Xenopus tropicalis: one gene and its partner. The protein of the gene in region 1 purifies or fractionates together with the protein of each later gene. This does not show direct contact. Links are inferred from orthologs where the notes say so. Each region holds a gene or a part of one and is shown in the gene's direction. Other genes may lie near its edges.

Region 1 (3,656 bases):
ACCAGCAGTAACAGGGGGTTTCCATTAAAGCAAATGACCAGTTATATGGTCAGGTCCAAGTGCTGCACTGCTGGCTAGAAAGCTGTGGTGGAGAATGTGCTATGAGCCAGTTTCCTCACAGTCTATTATTTGTTTATTGGGAATTTACCTGTTCACTTGCAACATGTGGTTAATTAAAATAACACTGATCCTTTTTATAAGTTTAAACCACCCAGACTGGCTTATGTTCCTGTCTTACCTGCAGCGTCAGCCTTACTTTATTCTTCATGCATGTCAGCTCCATACCTTAACCCAGTTCTGTTCTTTAACACTTTGTGCTTTTTTTCCAGGAAAGGAGAATCCACAGTATTCAAAGCCCACACCGGCACCGTACGAAGTGTAAGCTTCTCTGGGGATGGGCAGTCATTAGTTACTGCATCAGATGACAAGACTATAAAAGTATGGACTGTTCATAGGCAAAAATTTCTCTTTTCCCTGAATCAACACATCAACTGGGTGCGCTGTGCCAAGTATGTATCAAATGGTATTCCTTTCATTGTATTTGTTTTCTAGAATAAGTTTAATTTTAGGTTCAGCAGTGTGTCATTAAACTAAGCATGTATTAATAGATGTAATGGTGCCTCTACCATCCCACCAGAGTTATCTAAAGCTGGTTTATTTTTTTCTATTAGGTTTTCACCTGACGGAAGGCTTATAGTGTCTGCTAGCGATGACAAAACTATAAAATTATGGGACAAAACCAGCAGGGAGTGCATACATTCATTCTGTGAACATGGAGGGTAAGTAAATTCACAATAGATTTTGTATTTTAAGAGTGTTCTGTCGAAGGGCCCAATACATCAGCCTGTGTATGGCCACCTTTAGTCGACCAGTACATACCTCATGAGCCATGAGCACTAAGGTCAGCAACAGCATTCCCTGAATCCCACTGAAATGCTGGTGTTGGAGCTATTACTGCACCAGTGCTTCAGCACAGACTCTTGGATAAGCACCTTGAATAGAAACCTTTATCAAAATGGAATGAAAGCATTCTTATTCACACATTTACATTTAAATCTATTGATGGTAATGCTATTCACTTATACTTTTGTATTGCAGTTTTGTGAACTTTGTTGATTTCCACCCAAGTGGTACCTGCATAGCTGCAGCAGCAACAGACAACACAGTGAAGGTGTGGGATATCCGCATGAATAAACTGATCCAACATTACCAGGGTAATTAGCTTCTGTTAATATTACATGAACAACACATCAATTTAATGCCTATGTACTCATATCTGCACTCATGCCCTGCTGCAAGGTCTGTTTCTTGAATGGCATGAAGGTCAGTGGGACAAACACCCTATGGAGAGGGGCAAGTGCTCAGGCCTAAACAGAGGGTGACTGTTCTTTTCCTTAGCTTCTAGCAGCCACTGGGTACCATGCATGACAGTAGGCTTTTTTAAAGGGTAAGTGGAAAAACTTCTTTAATAGGAGCTTGCGCAAGTCTTTTAATCTTTGTCCCAGACACAAAAAAAAGGTTCATAGTTTTTGAAGGCATGCAGTATAGCTAAGTAGTTATGTCTATTTTGATGGTATCTTATAATTAATTATAAGAGTAAAGAGGAACCTAATGATTTTAGGTAAGGCTCTGCTCATTTGGCAAGGTCACTAAATGAGTGGATCTTTGCCTGATATGCCCAACTTGTGCTGGGCAAATGACCAGATCATAGTAGGTGCCTATGCAGGCCATGGGGAGAGGACTGCATGAATGAGTTGATGTGGTTCTCGCCCAATTTTTAAACCTATCCGATACATATCTGGCTGATTTTTGACCACATAGCTATCAGATAAGCTGCCGAAAAGGGCCCATACAAGGGCACATAAAGCTGCTAACTCGCTCTGAAAGGGCCAAATTGGCAGCCTAAATCTGCCCAAGTATGACCAGTTTAACTGTTTTTCTGTAACTTCATGCTTTGGGGAGTTCTTTATGTTTTATGCAACTGAATGGCAGAAGCAAACTAATCAGGGCCCACTAGTGGTGAAATTGTGATTTATGTTTTAAACAATAAAACAGGTATGGGATCTATTATTCAGAAAAACATTGTTTAAAAAGCTCTAAAAATATCTGAAGCCGTTTTTAAGCAAACATAGCCTGTAACTTAGTTTGTGGTTAATATCCAGATATATTTGCCAAGTTGCTTGTAAAGAAACCAGTAAAACTACAGGTTTTGGTGAAATATGCTCTGATAACTCCAAAAAAAAAATTAGAGAAAATGTATATATTTATGTAAAAATGTAATCTGGTTCTATAAAGACTGCGCTTTTTTTAATACTATAGATTCATTCAATCTATGATATTTCATTAAAATGTAACATATATATATATATTAGTACAACTCCAGATGGAAACCAAGAGATAAGATAATGGAATAGTATGAGACTATTGACACAGCCAAGTGCAGATAGTTCACAACGAGCAGCGCTGTATTTGATCACATAATCACTTCTTGTTTCTTCAAATGATTTCCGAGCAGTGAGCAAACAGGTCTTGGTGACTATTTACAAAGATTTCATAAAGTGAAAATGATAACCCAAGCAAATAAGATTTTATTTAAAGATCACATTTATTGTTCCAGTTCACAGTGGCGTAGTGAATTCTCTTTCATTTCATCCATCTGGCAATTACCTGATCACTGCTTCAAACGACTCCACTCTGAAAGTTCTTGATTTATTGGAAGGAAGATTACTTTACACCCTTCATGGACATCAGGTGAGAAGACAACAGCTGTCAGCCAGGGAAATAATGCTGCTTCTTCAGTGGTTAATGCCTCTTAAGGTGGCCATACACGTACCGGTATTATCATATGAAAAGAAGTTATTATTTGCCTTCTTCCACAGCAACTTTCCAGTTTTCAAATAGGGGGTCACTGGCTGGTTTTCTTTGAAGTGTAGCAGGAAATATAGTCCCGGGAGGAGTCTTTTATAAGAATTAATTTCAGAAACATCTCTGCCTTAAAATTGCCTCTACAAATTAAGTTATTCTGCCCATTGACCTGAAGAATGTGGTTAGAAAGAAACTATTTTAAACTTTTTCCCACCACCCAGGCCTTACCCAGTGCAAACATCTCTAGTGAAATTACAATTACGTCTGTAGGTGTCTCCAAATTTTACTGTTTTGTACATTTTTATATTGCCTTGTACGAAAAATGCTGTGTTTGATCCTAGGAGCACAAAATACTTTTTTGAGACTCATCACAATGAAGCCCACTGTGTGCTAAACATATATTTATATATCTCAATCTATAATTTTGTGAAACATTGGAATAAAAGAGGGACACTAATCGATCCCATCGCTGACAAGCCAAAAGGCCATAAATGCTTTACTGGTAATGACAGGAATAGTTAGGAGCAACAGGGATTCCACAGGAAACAAAAGTCAGCTCAGACAGGCTTGGAGGCTAGTTCCCAATGCCCTACAGCAGGTCTGGACTGGGATACAAAATAGGCCCTGGCATTTCAAGTACACAGAGGCCCAAACACCCCGACCAACCCTGATTAATAGTGACTGTCTATGGCAGGGGTCCCCAACCATGGTGCAATGGGCGCCTCTGATGCTGGCAGTTACACAGTGGTGTGCCGAAGATGCACATAAGTGATTTTCTGTGTGGTCTGCTC
Region 2 (3,656 bases), on another chromosome or scaffold:
AAACCTACATTATGGTTTGTTGATAAATGTGGCAGCAGATTCTCAGCAACACAATAATGTTGTGAGAAAAGCTGTTGATAAACAGGCTGATGCGAGTTGCCTACTCCAAATTGAGCTGAAAGCCTGTTGGTCTATGTATGGGCCATAACCATGGCCGGCCTGTTGTCTATTGGGCAGACTAGAAAATCCAAGGACAGCATTGGGCTTTTAATTTGATTGTTGTCACTGTGGGACAGTTGAATGGATAAACCCAACTGACCAAGTGGTCAGTTTCAGCAAAGGGTTTCCAAAATTTGTTTTTTCTCTACTTACATGTTTCTTTCCCTTTAATGCAGAGATATACTGTGTGAATGTACAAATTATTTTTTTTTTTCTACAGCTCATCACCCAGGCCTTCAACCACCACAATAAACTAGCTTTAGCAGCTCAGAAACAGAAGGATGCTGATCGTCTGGAGAGAGAGGCTGTGAGGCAAGAACGGGAAGCCAAGAAAAAAGAAACGGAAGCTGGAGAGTCCAGAATCACAGAGCTCACTGATGAGGAAGCAGAGAGACTACAAAAAGAAATTGATAAGGTTAAACACTAGAAAATGAGAAGCCATCACTTATTATATTTCCAGCAGTGCAAATATTTTTAAACATTTTTTTTTTGATTTGCAGAACAAAGAGAAAGAGAAGGCAACTAGAGAGACAGAGGAGAAACCAGAGCCTGAGAAGGTAAGGTTATAAACAACAACAAATAACTGTTAGGAGAAACACTGATGTGCTCTTGGAAAAATATGATCAATGTAAAGTGATGTCTCAGCAATAGTGAAGGAGGAGAATAATAGGCTGTGATTGCTGGTTTTTGTATTCTGTAGGATGGAGAGGAAGAAAAGGAGGAGGAGGAAGAAGATGATGAGAAAGATAAAGGAAAGCTCAAACCAAATTCAGGAAATGGAGCCAACCTTCCTCATTACCGCTGGACACAAACCCTCTCTGAGGTTGATGTAAGTGTTTGTAAAGAATGTTGCTAAATATTTAGTCGCGTGTGATGTCCATAGAAAGAGCCTGGACAAAGGGAACTAAAAATTTTACCTCACAATTTTTTTTAGTTTGTTTTGTGGATTTTTATAGATAACTTTCCTACCATTTTAGCTCCAATACTTTATTCTTAAACAGCTGTCAGACACAGTGGTTTCAGACATGCTGTTTTCCAGACTGGTGTCCTAACATTAATCTATGTGCATATATATGCTAAAGACCACTGACACAGAGGAAATGACAGCAGTTACACCACTGACTGGGCAACCAGCTCAGTATTGCATGAGGAGAGGTTTTTTTATGCAAAATCTGCTCTTAGTATTGTTTGTTATTCCTGTACATCTGAGTTTTTGTTTAGATTTGTGGGGATGAATAATTGTTTTTGGTGTTTTTCCTAGTAAAAATGTGACAGATTTTTTTTTTTTTTACAAGGGGAGAGACTGAACTACCTACTGTGACCCTCCATAGATCTTAAAGGAGAAGGAAAGGCTAATAAAGAGTTAATCTCAAGCTGGGAGTGAGTTCTTAGCATTCTTGAGGGAGGGGGGAGCAAGAGAGAGGAGACAGCAGAAAGCTGTGTGTCTCTGGCACAGGAATTACCAACACAAGAAATCTTTTCACAGAGAAGTCAGTGCAGCGTTTCTGTGAGTGCTTATGGCTGTATTTACATAGACCTTTCTGATAAAGCTTACTTAGTTTTTACCTTTCTTTCTCCTTTAAAAGAGATACTGACAACAGAAATCTAACCATTTTTACATCTGTCTTAACATTGTCTTTGCATGTTTTTTTTACTTAAAAGTATTTGCTCGATGCGTTTACATTCCTGATCCCCTATGTTCCTCTATGAGGGGGCTGCCATATTTGTGCAGCAGTAGTCCTTTAGCATTAGAAACTGTTAAAGTAGAAGGAAAGGTAAAAACAAAGTAAGTTTTATCAGAAAGGTCTATGTAAATATGCCATAAGCACTTACAGTAATGCTGCAGTCCTCTATGAAAAGAGGCACAGGATTTCTTTTCTCCTATTTTGTACACGTTCTTAGGGTATCTGACTTCCTCTCTCAGAAAAATCCTTCATACCCAGGCCAGAGTCTGAGCAGTTCTCTCCCATAAGAATTCATAAAACCCACTCCCCCCACCCTTAAGAATGCGTAATCTAAACTATAACGGCTAAACTGCAAGCAGGAAGCTATGAAGATCAAGATAAAATGGCAGCTGCAATCTTAAGCAAACAGTGAAAACTTCTAGGGCTCTCTACTCGGGTATAGTAAAGCTTTCTGCAGAATAAATATAGCATTCCAAGTGGCACTAATGTGGTAAATCTATTGGTAGTAAAATGCTGAAATGACTGTCCCTTCTTAATCTGCCATTTAAAGCAGAAGGAAAGTCATGTTGGCAAAAGAGTCAGGTTTAGGAACTTCCAGTAACAATTACTTACAAAAGCAGCCCTATCAGTGAAAAACAATCAACATGACCTATAGGTAATATTTAATGTACATTAATATTTTGAAGAGCAGTTTTTTTAGTGTCAGTATCACTTTAATAAGAGATTACAGATCTGGCAATCATCCAGGTATATGTTTAAGCCAGGCAGAGTGTTCGCACTTTGGCATGCTCATTTCTGCTCATAGAAGCACCAATATTTGCAGTTCCATTAGTTTCCAAACAAACTGCATAATGATTAGTTCATATGTGGACCCCTATTTTGGTTTGGATGATCAAACCACAAAAATTAATGTGGAAGAAGAACTGATTAATTATATGTTACTAAATATGTTGTTATATGCCAAACCATACAACTTATTGGGCCAACAACTGTGGTGAGCGATTGGACCAACCAACATACAGGATGTTCAGTTGGATCAGAGCAACATGGTCATCTGTGTGGGTGAAACAACCAACTAGTCAACCTATGGTAACTGTTGGATATCTTGTTATTTGGCCCATTAGAAATCAGCTTTATGTGAATTTGGATAAAGTTGTTGAATAGCCTTACATACTAGTAAAAAAGTAATTTTTGTATTGCTCCCTCCCTGGAGGTAAGGAGCTGACCTGAAAGTTGGTTCAGGGTTGTGTCTCACTGTAACTGGATTTGGTTGGGTCTAATTTAGAGGCTTTACGTGGCCGGGTCTCTTGTGCTTTACATGCTTTTATTACAGTGTTCATCTGGTTGCACGTGGAAGCTAGCATGTTCAGCAGCAGTTAAACAGCCAAAGGCTATTTATGCTATATCTTAATAGTTCTAAAAACACAGTTAAAGGAGAAGAAAAGGCTAATAAAGTGTTAATCTCAAGCTACAGACATACCTTCAGTTCTCTCAATAGTGCCCCTTAAGTCTCTCCATATTTTCCTGTTCAGATGATCTGAAGCGTCATAGTAAAAAGAAATGCTGAGCTCTGTAAACAAAATTCCCATAATGCCAAGTTCCTGCACCAAGACCAAGACCCATGTACATGTGCAGTGTGTAAGACTATGAGGAAGCTTCCTGCTGTATAGCTCAGATCACTAATTCCTAAGGGAGAGGGGAGCATAGACTCTGGCATAGGAAAAAAGGAGACAAGAAATCATGTGTTTCTTTTGATAGAGAACTCAGTGCAGCTTTTCTGTGAGTACGTATAGCTGTATTTACATAGACCTT

What was found. Proteins that work in one complex are often made in the same cells at the same time.
Region 2: the proteins of poc1a (region 1) and nudc purify together in Homo sapiens (co-immunoprecipitation; 3 studies listed by BioGRID and IntAct, with this or other methods). This does not show direct contact. The link is inferred for Xenopus tropicalis from reciprocal best matches to the Homo sapiens genes POC1A and NUDC.

What each region holds. Positions count from the first base shown.
Region 1 is NC_030680.2:128,806,357-128,810,012, reverse strand, and holds part of poc1a (POC1 centriolar protein homolog A), read left to right. Parts: intron 1-329; coding exon 330-509; intron 510-671; coding exon 672-779; intron 780-1,098; coding exon 1,099-1,214; intron 1,215-2,617; coding exon 2,618-2,751; intron 2,752-3,656.
Region 2 is NC_030678.2:77,789,354-77,793,009, forward strand, and holds part of nudc (nuclear migration protein nudC), read left to right. Parts: intron 1-379; coding exon 380-574; intron 575-659; coding exon 660-716; intron 717-859; coding exon 860-988; intron 989-3,656. UniProt on the Homo sapiens protein: Plays a role in neurogenesis and neuronal migration. Necessary for correct formation of mitotic spindles and chromosome separation during mitosis. Necessary for cytokinesis and cell proliferation.